Pelodiscus sinensis: one gene and its partners. The protein of the gene in region 1 binds, or shares a complex with, the protein of each later gene. Links are inferred from orthologs where the notes say so. Each region holds a gene or a part of one and is shown in the gene's direction. Other genes may lie near its edges.

Evidence for each region.
Region 2: EIF3I (region 1) and EIF3L share a complex: the UniProt entries of both Homo sapiens proteins name them as parts of the eukaryotic translation initiation factor 3 (eIF-3) complex. The link is inferred for Pelodiscus sinensis from reciprocal best matches to the Homo sapiens genes EIF3I and EIF3L.
Region 3: EIF3I (region 1) and EIF3D share a complex: the UniProt entries of both Homo sapiens proteins name them as parts of the eukaryotic translation initiation factor 3 (eIF-3) complex. The link is inferred for Pelodiscus sinensis from reciprocal best matches to the Homo sapiens genes EIF3I and EIF3D.

The regions. Positions count from the first base shown.
Region 1 is NC_134735.1:3,624,153-3,627,898, forward strand, and holds the start of EIF3I (eukaryotic translation initiation factor 3 subunit I), read left to right. Parts: upstream 1-1,088; 5' UTR 1,089-1,133; coding exon 1,134-1,136; intron 1,137-2,418; coding exon 2,419-2,511; intron 2,512-3,623; coding exon 3,624-3,711; intron 3,712-3,746. Other genes in the region: TMEM234 (transmembrane protein 234), read right to left, coding at 1,008-1,020. UniProt on the Homo sapiens protein: Component of the eukaryotic translation initiation factor 3 (eIF-3) complex, which is required for several steps in the initiation of protein synthesis.
Region 2 is NC_134711.1:92,209,246-92,212,991, reverse strand, and holds the start of EIF3L (eukaryotic translation initiation factor 3 subunit L), read left to right. Parts: upstream 1-1,342; 5' UTR 1,343-1,458; coding exon 1,459-1,491; intron 1,492-1,652; coding exon 1,653-1,701; intron 1,702-3,746. Other genes in the region: ANKRD54 (ankyrin repeat domain-containing protein 54), read right to left, coding at 1-189. UniProt on the Homo sapiens protein: Component of the eukaryotic translation initiation factor 3 (eIF-3) complex, which is required for several steps in the initiation of protein synthesis.
Region 3 is NC_134711.1:93,331,284-93,335,029, forward strand, and holds the start of EIF3D (eukaryotic translation initiation factor 3 subunit D), read left to right. Parts: upstream 1-1,458; 5' UTR 1,459-1,612; intron 1,613-2,550; 5' UTR 2,551-2,561; coding exon 2,562-2,684; intron 2,685-3,095; coding exon 3,096-3,141; intron 3,142-3,746. UniProt on the Homo sapiens protein: mRNA cap-binding component of the eukaryotic translation initiation factor 3 (eIF-3) complex, a complex required for several steps in the initiation of protein synthesis of a specialized repertoire of mRNAs.

The DNA.
Region 1 (3,746 bases):
TTGTTACCAGCTCTAGCCCAATTATCACATTTAGCCCAGACATCACATTTGCAAACCACAAATGAATGTCAGATGCTAAAAAGCTCTGAGCTTTTATGGTGCATTATGTATTTTAGAATACTGCAGAAGACGGGACAGACCTGTTTGAATGCTGCTGACAGTGCAGGGTTTTGCAATAAACATTACTATGTCATGGTCACACAGGTTTATTACATACATTTATTTCTGCCGCAGTTCTTTTTCTGTCTATTTATTATTACAGATTATTCCAGTCTATGAAAACAGGTTCAACGGTCAGAAAACTGGGCTTGACTGCATTACTTTATGGGTCTTAATAGCAGTTTACTGTGACTCAGCCCGTACTGGCTAGAGCTGTGCTGGCACCCAGAACAACTCACTTCCTATTTCTGGCACTCCCCCAATGTCACCAGCCTGGAACCATGAATCATTTGTGCTTTCGTCCAGAACACGCGTATGGTGAGCAAAAGGAGCTGAGCAGCTTTAAAAGGCCTGGCTCCATCATGGTGCCCTTTAAAGGTGATGTCCTGAGAGGCTGCTGCCCCCGGCTCAGTGAATAAGCGGGTGTTTGTGTATAGAAGGTCAGTGAAGCGCCTTAGGTCCTCCTGTGGTCTCCAGATGGGAAACCTTGTCAATGTCATACAGTGTGTGTGTGGGGGGGGGGCTGCCCGCTCTTCCTTTAGTGAGCCCCCCCCAGGCCCCAGCACTGGGGAACCCTCCGACCAGCCTCTTCCCCTGCACCCCTGCCACTGAGGACACCCTGACTCTCACCTTCCCGCGGGGGGGGGGGGGCTGGAAATCCCCTTCCCCAGTGTCCCACCACAGGGACCGTCTAGCACCCCTCCCCCCACCCCACAAGGAGCCCCGCCCCTCCCCCCTGTGCCCCGCCCCTCCCCCTGTGCCCCGCCCCCAGCTGCAGAGACCCCGCCCCGGGGGGAGCCGCGCGCTGCCCGAGCGCCTGTCATGACTCCCGGAAGCAGGAAACTCACCCGCGGAGGCCATGCCGGCTCCGCTCCACTTCCGGCCCGGCCGCGCCCCCTGACCCGGATGTGGTTCTTCCTCCTTCCTGTTGTCACGCGGAGCTTGTGACTGGGCCGGGGCTGTGAGCGGTCGCCATGGTGAGTGCGGGGCCGAGGGGCGGCTGGGGCCGGGCAGGCCTGGTCGGGAGGAGGCGGAGTCTCGGGGGGGGGGGGAGAATTCCCCCTCCCCCCACGTCGGGTCCTGCCTCGGTCCCCCCCCCCCCCCGCTCCTTCGAGCCCGTCCCCGCAGCGTCCTGCCCCCCCCCGGAGCCCATCCCCCCCCCACACCACCACCACTCCCCCCGCCCGTCCGCTCCCCCCGCAAGCCCCCCGCCCCTCCCCGCAGCGTCCTGCCCCCCCGGAGCCCATCCCCCCCACCACTCCCCCCTCCCGTCCTCTCAGTGTCCTGCCTCTCCCGCCCCCCTCCCCGCCCCCCGCCGCCCCTCCCCGCGGCATCATGGCTCTCCCTTCTGTTTGGCTTGGAGCCCATTCCCCCGTTATGGTGGCCCCAGCGCTCTTGCCCCCCCCCCCCCCCGATCCCCTCGGCTGCCTCCTCCCCTCTTTATGGAAACACCAGCGGGGAGTTCCCAGTGTAACACCGGCACCTGCTGCCGCCCCAAGTACATTGCTGGGTCCCGGTGAGGAGCCACTAGGGGAGGGGTTCCCAACCTGGGGTACGCGTACCCCTAGGGGGTAGGAGAAGCGTGTCAAGGGGTACAGGGAATATTTGGTAAATAACTACATTATCCTAATTGAAATATTCCCTAAGTGGTCGTGTGAGTGAAAAAAGTTGGTGGATTCTAGAGTCTAGAATTTATTTCCTTTCATATTGAATAGGGGGTACGGGAAGGTTTACTAAAAGCCAAGGGGGTACAGGGACTGAAAAAGGTTGAGAACCCCTGCTCTAGGGCCTTGCTGCGCTGGGATTCCCACCCATAAGGTGAAGAAACGCTGGGGGGGTAAAGCCTTCTTATTGGGTGGGGTTAGCCACCTCCTGAAGTTGTTCCTGGCCCTACGCATCTGTGAGATGAATTCAATCCCCAGTCATCCTCGTTCCAGCCTGCTGGCGCATTGGGCCTTATTAAATGACAGGTCCCCTTCCAGGGCTACTCAGTGAAACCTAGCAGCCTGGGAAAATAAACAGCCAGTAAAGCTGCGTGGTTTGAGGACTCTGGACTCTGCTAAAGTTGAATCTTCGGGAAGATGAGGTTTTCCAATGCAGGTTTCAATGGATAAAACATTGAAATACGAGTAAATGGACTAGCTTCAGTTGTGTTTGGTGGAAACTCTATACTCATGTATTTGCACAAATCACAAAGCCCGAAGGTGTGTTTTATTTTAAAATACTGGATTTAAAAAAAAAATTCTGTCTCCTTTTTAGAAACCTATACTATTGCAAGGTCATGAGAGGTCCATTACTCAAATCAAATATAACCGAGAAGGAGACCTACTCTTTACAGTAGCTAAAGATCCTGTAAGTATTTCTGAGTCTTTGATTAACTGTTTCATGTCTCTCAAACTTAGGAGGAAGTTTAAACTGGATTCTAAAAAAGTGAAACTTCTAGCAGCCAGTTTAATATTATGGTTATGCATCATAGCCCTGTAGCTGAGGTGGTGTCAGTTTTTTGTTAACTAGTTATTACAGGCAGTCCTCGCTGTAAGTCCAAGATACATTCCAAAAAACTTGGACTTGTAGCAAAACAACTTAAAGTATGGAATTTTTTTCCCGCGGCTGACTTCCATTTGTGCAAATTGGTGGGGGTGGGGGTGGGGTTGCTCAATTTAAGAGCGGGGAATTGGAGGACTTACAACGCATCAGTTCCTACAAGTGTCAATGACTTTAGTGTGGAGTGGATGTACCAGGGCAACTTATAGCGGGTATGCCCTGTTACAGAGAGTTTGTATAAAAATTGGAAATTTAACTGTATTTTATCATCTATATAGTCTGAAAATCCCTTTCCTCCAGGGTGTTGGAGGTACTTCTCTTTCCCTATACCTGAAAAAAGTGTATTCCCATTCCGAGAAATCTTTGCTGCTTCCTGTTCAGTTCAAGGTCTAGTACAAAACCAACCTGCTTCCTCTTCAGGATGTTTCATATAGTAGTTTTCCACACCTAGCATTTCTGTCTCTCCTCAGTCTTACTTGAGCAGCATATTTTTTTTTCCTCTCCCTGTGTTCCACCTTAGGCAGTAATCCCACTCCCATTTTTAAATACTATTTCCAGGCCCCTGAAGAGAACCATCACTGCCTGCTTTTCAACATACATTCTGTTTAACTGCATTTATAAAATACCTGTTGCCATGCATTTAGTGATAGTATCTCTCAACACGAAGAGTGCACCATATTCCCTGTGACCATCCTCATTCGTTCTCCTACAATCTGACCTCTCCACCTTTTGACATTCCTGTCCTACTATCTCTAGTGATGCTGCCTGTAATGTAGGTTATAACACATGTAGTCCTACTTGTATGTGCAGTGAGATAACTTGAAATACTCAAAGATGAGACCATATGGAAGTAAATTACGTTCATTTATTTAGCAGTTTGATCAAACATGGATCCTTGACCAATTGTTTTGCATTACCAGATTGTCAATGTTTGGTACTCGGTCAATGGGGAGAGGCTTGGCACTTACAATGGCCACACGGGAGCTGTCTGGTGTGTGGATGCAGATTGTATCCTTTCATGACTGAAACCTGGCTGCTTGGCT
Region 2 (3,746 bases), on another chromosome or scaffold:
GGCCTCTGGGGGGCCCCGCAGCGCGGCCCCGAACTCCGGCAGCGCGAACCCGCTCCCCGGGGGCCTCGGCTCCTTGTCCGCCCCGGGCCCGCCAGCGCCGCCGCCGCCGTCCATGCCCGCCGCCCCCGCGCGGCCTCCCAGCTTCGGGCCCGGGCGCGCTGACAGGGGGCGGGCCGAACCAGTAACCATGGTAACGAGGGCGGGCCGCCAGAGGCGGGACCAATTTCTCCAGTCACAGACTCCAGCACCAGGCCACCAATCACAACGGGGCGGGGAGAGGGGAGGAGTAAGGCGGGAGGGAAACACATACACGACAGCCAAAGGCCTCGTCCAAATAGAGGAGCGTCACCACGCAGCAGCCAATCGCAGACAGCCTGAGGATGACAGGCATTTATTTCACCCAATGAAAGAACTGGCCAATGCGAGCCAGCCGTCCCTCAGGGAAGTGGGGCTCTCGGAGAAGTAAATGAGGTTTGATCGGGGTTTAGAGAGAGGAAGGGGGGGGGGGCAACTCCCCAAACAGTCACCGCCCCCCCGCCCGGTCTCCCCAACATGCCCTGTCACCCCAGCTACACCCGCCCGCCCTGTCACCTTCACGTCTCCGTCGTCCCCCGCTACACCCGCCCACCCCGTCACCCCAACATGCCCCGTCACTCCCGGCTACACCCTCCCGCCCCAACACCCCACCTACACCCACCTGCCCGTCACTCCAATCTGGACCGTCACCCCAGTTATATCCTCCTGCCCCGTCACTCCCAGCTACACTCGCCTGTCTGTCACTCCAACCTGGACCGTTACCCCAGATGCATCCTTCCTCCGTCACCCCAGTAACACCCGCCCACCCTGTCACTCCCAGGTACACCCTCCCCCCCAAACTCCAGTTACATCCGCCCATCACCCCAACATGCCCCGTCACCGCCAGCGACACCCCCCAGCCCGTTACCCCAGTTATACCCTTCCGACCGCACCCCAACATGACCCGTCACTCCCGGCTACACCCTCCCGCCCCAACACCCCAGCTACATCCGCTCATCACCCCGTCACCCCAGCTACACCTACCTGCCCGTCACCCCAAACTGGCCCGTCGTCCCAATTATACCCGCCCGCCCCGTCACCCCAACATGCCCCGTCACTCCAGCTACACCCGCCCCGTTTCCCCAACATGCTCTGTGATTCCCAGGTACACCTGCCTGTCACCCCAAGCTGGACTGTTACCCCAGATACGTCCTTCCGCCCCGGCTACACCCGCCCGTCACCCCAACATGCTTCGTCGCCCCAGCCCCACTCGCCCGCCCAGCCGAACGCTCCCCCTGCAGCCTTAGCCAAGCCCTGAGCCCGCCTCCCGCCGCAGAAGCCCCGCCCCTCCGCCTGGTGCGGCCGCTGCTGCTTCCGGCTCGCTACCGGAAGAAGCTGCCTTCCCGGCCTGAGCCTTTCCCCTGCCGCGTGCCGAGCCCCGCCATGGCCTACCCGGCCGAGGATTACGACACCGAGGTACCCGGCTCCCCCACCCCACCCCCACCCCGGGACGTGGTGGCCCGACCGGCAGCACCCGCCGCCGGCTGCTGAGTGAGGGACCCGGGCGGGGGGAGGGCCCGTCGCGTAGCTGAGCTCTCGGGTGACGCCCCCCCCTCTGCGTCTGTTTCTCCCCCCAGGCCTCCTACGACCCCTACACGTACCCGGGTGACTATGACATGCACACAGGTGAGTCCTGCGGCGCGGCCGGGCCAGGGCGCCGCGTTTTCCCTCCCTTGCCCCAGACCCCCCCGGCCAGACCCCTTCCAGCCCGCGTGTCCCTGAGCTAGAACTAGCCAAAGAGAGGACTGTCACGTGACTGCCTATCCAGCTTGTGGGAAGGTCTCGCTCCACCCCACCTCCCCGGTTGTTTCTCTGCCTTCTTGTGTGGGGTTTGTTGGTCGGAGGCCTGGCTCTCAACCTTTCCAGAGACCTGTGTCCCTTTCAGGAGTCTGATTTGTTTTGTGCACTCCCAACAAAGGGTGTTAAATGGCAGTTGTTTGGCTAATCGTTAGTCGATACAGTTTGTATCGATTACGTGATTCGTCGATAGGGACCATTCTGCAGAACCACAGAGGGAGTAGTTAAAAGAGCTGGCCTGAGACAGGACTGAGCAGTTCTGGCTTGTGCCAGCTGTGGGAACCACCTGCACCACAGCTCTGCATTTTAAATGTAGTAAGAGCCACCAGGACTGCTTGGCCCTGGCTCGTGTTGAGTCCAGCAGCCCCTGTTCGCAGCGGCCAGCCTTCTCCACTGAGAATGGGCTGGTGGCAGAGCAGCCTCTTTTCATGGCAGACAGGGCTGGCTGCAGCCACGGGCTGCTGCCAGAGCAGCCCCTGCATGCACCCAGGCCACTGCAAACGGGCTGCTTGGTGGCAGCAGTCTCTGTCCGCAGAGGAGCCCAACTCCCCACTGGAACCCTGTGGACAAAGGCTGCTGCTGGAGCAGCCTCTGCCTGCAGTGAGCTTCATTTCCCCCCTCCCGCTGCCACTGCCTCTGATGGAGTGGGAGGCAAATGGGGTGGGGGGCAAATAGCACTGCAGAGACAGTGCTGGGGAGAATCAGCTCTTAAACTGGCTCTCCCCATTCCTGTCCCCCTGCTTTGGTGCCTCTAATAGAGGCAGCAGGGGGAGGGCGAGTAGCCGATACTCCAGGAGGGAATTTGGGTGAAGGAGGTGGTTGTAAGGATGTAAGCGACTAATTTACTATCTGATAAGCAAAAACTTATCGGATAGTTGATACATTAGTCGATTAGTCGCTCTCCCCACCCTCCCCCCTTGCTCCCTCTATCACAAAGAGGCAGCAGGCGGGAAGGGGGGAGAGGAGGAGGAGCTGTCTTAAAAGCCGGTTCCCCCCAGCTCCGTGGGTGAGGGCAGGGGCATAGTGGTGGTGTTCCAACTTTGAAATGTGCAAGAGTCCCTTCTGGGGCTCTTGTACATTTCAAAGATTGAAACACTGCGTGGAGCCTGGGACCAGTGGGGAGTCCCCCACTGACTCTGGGCTCCATGTGGGTACTTCCGCTACCCGCTAGGGCTCTTGTACATTTCAAAGTGGAGGTGCCTGCATGGAGCCCAGGGTCAGTAGGGGACTCCCAGCTGGCCCCGGGCTCCAGGTAACATTTCAATCTTTGAAATGCACAAGAGCCTCTACATTTCAAAGGTGGGTCGCTACACTAGTCCTTATCGACTAATCAAATAGTCAATGGAAATCCTATTAACTATTTGATTAGTTAATTAATCAAAATTTAACATCCGTAAGTGGCTGACCTAAGGGGGGGACTGGAGTGCATGGGTTTGGGATGTGACATAGGTTAGAAGGGGATTGTGATCTAGGGCAGGAGATTGGGGTGCCAGATCTGGGAGTGGGTATGGGTGCAGGAGGAGAGCAAAGGATTTGGGACTGTTGATTGGGGGAGCAGAGGGTTGGGGAATAAGGGGCTGGAGTGCCAGAGGCAGGCGCTGGCCAGAAGACTTACCAGCTAGTAGCCAAACCAGTCTGCCTTCCTGCAGAGCTAAGGCTTGCAGATGTTAAAACTTTTTCTGGCCAGCCACTGTGTGCCTGGCCATGTGCTTGTATGAATAACTGAGCTGAGGAGAGGGGTCATAGTTTTTCTTGGCGGGCTGTTGTTCAATAGGCGGCTCCCATTGACAAGTTTGTGGCTAGAAACCGGTCAATGTGATTGTTCTGGGGCTGAGGGCAACTCCTGAAGCTTTCCCTCCTCCACTTCAGTTTTG
Region 3 (3,746 bases), on another chromosome or scaffold:
AAGGGATTTCACTAAACTGGGCAGCTGAGTAACAAAATGGCAGATGAAATTAATTGTTGATAAGCACAAAGTAATGCACATTAGAAAAAATAATCCCAACTATACAGACAAAATGGAGGGAATCGAAATTATCCTTTTGGAGTCACTGTGGATAGCTCTCTGAAAATATCTTCTAAGTGCGCAGTAACAATTAAAAAAAGCTAATAATGTCAGGAACTATTATGAAAGGGATTGAAATTAAAAACAGAAAATACTATAATGCCACTATATAAATCCATAATACACCCATACTTTAGATACTGTGTGCAATTCTGATCACATCTCAAAAAAGATATATTACAATTTAAAAAGGTGCAAACAAGGGCAATCAAAAGTATTAAAAATATGGAACAGTTTCCATAGGAGAGATTTTTAAAGTGAGGACTGTTTTACTGAGAAAAGGCAACTAAGGTGGGAAATGATAGAGATCTATATCATGAGTGCTGTGAAAAAATTCAGGAAGGAAGTGTTATTTACCCCTCAGACAGCACAACTAGGGTACAAAAATAATAGGCAACAGGTTTTTAAAAAAAAACAGGAAAGTACTTCACCCAAGGCACAGTCAACCTGTGGAACAGGAAGTTGTGAAGGCCAAAATTACAACTAGGTTAAAAAAAATATAACTAGATACGTTAATGATAGGTTCATCAATGGCTATTAGCCAAAATGGTCCAAATATCCCTAAACATCCAACTGCTTAGAGGGTGAGACTAGGCAACAAGGGATGGATCACTAGACGTTGCCCTCTTCTGTTCATTGCCTCCAAAGCACCTGACAATAGCCACTGCCAGAAGACGGACTAGTGGTCTGATCCAGTATGGCCGTTCTTACTAGGGACGTTAAATATTGATTAACTAATTGATTTCCATCGACTATTCGATTAGCGGATAAGAACTAGCGCAGGCTCCCTCTCTGAAATGTAGAACAGCCCCAGCTGGCAGCCTGGAGGAGCCCCGCTCACCCACCCCAATGAGCGAATTCCTGCGGCAGTTCACGTCCAGCCACGGCAGCCAGAGATGCGAAAAGCGCCATCCCCAGGCCCCGCCGCGGGCGCCGCGTGTAACCCAAACCCACCGCCGGGACCCGTTTGAACGGGCTCGCCCCGCACCCTGGGCTGCCGCCCCGCTTCACCCCGCAGGAGCCTCTCGGAGCGCGCTGCGGACAGGCCGGGCGCGGTTGCAGCAGCGGCCCCGAGGCACAAGGATGAGGCGGCTCCACACTCGTGGGGCCTTCGACCGGCCCTGCCCCCAACCACCCGGGTGCTCGCTTAGCCCCAGCAGCGGAGCCAGGCCCGACCCGGCCTCCTTGCGGCAGCCGGGGGGAGCGGACTTTGGTGCTTTACGGCAACTCGCTCTCCTCCCCCACTTTGGTGCTTTACGGCAACTCGCTCGCCTCCCCCACAGGGCGGAATAGCCCTGTTTTGCTTTTACGACGATGCGTCCGGGGGCGGCGCGGGGTGATGACGTGGCGGGCGGTGCGCGCCGGCGTGTAACCCTAGCTAAGGTTCTCCCGCAGCCTTCACCCCCCCCCGACCCGCATCCGCCTCCATCGGGACCCGGCTGGGCCCGCACAGGTGAGGGGCGCGCGCAGGGCTCCGGCCGGAACAGGCCCGCGCGGCCGCGCGCGCGACTTGGAGTCTGTGGGGCCCGGATCCGCCTTGGCCACGGGACGTCCAGGCCAGACACCGCCTCGCCGGGCCTGCCGGGGCGGGAGCGCGCGGCTTCTACCCTGTCTGGGCCCGGGCCCGGCTCCCCCCCTGGGCTGCTCGCCCGTCCCCTCGGCTGGCCCCTGTTTCCCAGGCGCGGCTCCCGCAGCCTCACAGCCGGGCCCTGCTGGCTCACGGCTTGTCTCCAACCTGCGGTACTCGCTGCTGCCGGATCTACACATGGCCGAGCACGTAGGCCCAGGTCCTGGAGGGTGTTTCGGAGCTTAGCACCTCCTGATTTGAGTGAGAAGGGCCTAAATCCCTTTGAGGAGCTGGGTCTTGATGACACAGGATTAGATATTTTTGGGAATAAGAATAGCTGCTTCACAGATGCTAGCTAGGACAATAAGTATAAAAATAGTAGATCCTCAAGCATAAAGGCATGGGTGTGGTCTGAAAGAAAAATCCATCTGGGAAGTAATTGTGCTATTATGCACAGTAAAGAGAGATATGAAACCTTTTTCCAGGGCTTTTTATATTGGTCACAGACAGGCACTTGTCTTGTTCAGTTTTGTCTAACAGTTCAGTTCAGGAGATTCGTACACAGGAAAGTAATTATTCTATTGCATACCGACAGTGCTGTTAGAGCTGACACCTTCACCTTTTCCTTAACCCCAGAAATTCTGGGAAATGATCCTAGCCCTACGAACTTTTCTCTGTGTTTGTGGCCATTAAAAGTGGTACCACCTATTGTCTTTTGAATGGTTGTCATTGCTCATTAGTATCCAATGAAGTTTCCCAGCAGTTTTGTAGAGTTAAAATGTTCCAAACACTTGAACTACCTCCACCCCATTTTTTTTCCCAAGGATTTTAGAAGATGGCTAAATTCATGACGCCTGTGATCCAGGACAACCCCTCCGGGTGGGGTCCATGTGCTGTTCCAGAGCAGTTCAAAGATATGCCATATCAGCCCTTCAGCAAAGGGGATCGTCTGGGAAAGGTACCTGTGCTAACACTACTAAATAAATCACTGGAGTAATCAGTTAATGCCCATATGTTAGGCTACTTGGAAATTCCTGTTAGCTGTTCTTATCATATTTGCTGTCTTAGTCCTATACTGTTCCTAATAATGCCTCTACACACACATTGGTGCTCCACTCCCTATAGCTTCCTTATCCCTGTTGCAGGTGTTGTATGAACCAAGACCTCTTGATAGTGTGCATAAGCAAAGCAAGAAGTTTGAAAGAATATTGATTGTTATAAGATGATTGTAAGTGTGACTCTGGAATAGAAAGCACTGTTTGCTGTTGCTGAGTGGCTGAGTGAATTAAGAGATTGTGGAGCAAAAGAGAGTATAAGATGTTGGATGACACACGCTCAACAAGTTTGTTTCTGTTGTCTTTTTTATTAGGTTGCAGACTGGACAGGAGCCACTTACCAGGACAAGAGATACACAAGTAAGTGCTATGTTGGTGGCTGCTCTTTGCTAAGATACTTCATATGAGGTTTCTTAACCATCTTCTAAGTTTCCTGTAAACTGCATGGCCAAGCGGTCACGCATGTCCCTATTTAGCACTACACAAGGTCTCTAGGAAGGCCCTGCAGCAGCTGGGGAAGGGCCATCCCAGGCCCAGTTTAGCTTTTGTGCCAACCTGCTGGGTCTGTCCAGTCCTGAACCAGCCCCAATTATACTACAGCAGCCCACCCCACCTCCTGCTATGCCGTTGCCAGGAGAGGTGCTGTCCTACTCTCCCAGCCCAGATGCTGCTGCAAGAAGAGAGAGCCGGGAGAGTCGTCTCTCAATGAAGTAGCCCCGGAGCACCCTCCACTTTGAATCCCTCCCAAACCCAGCCAAACCTCAAGGGTCTAGATGGACCCTTATCTAGAGCCCTCACACCCCTGCACTCCAGCCTTCTGCTGAAGCCCTAAGTCCCTTTTCCCTTACTCCATCCCAGAGCCTGCACCCCCCGTCAGAGCTCTTGCACCCCAACTCTCTTTCTGTTGGTGAACAAGCCCTAAGCTGCTTATCCCCAGCCTTACCTGAGAGCCCAAACTCCCAGCC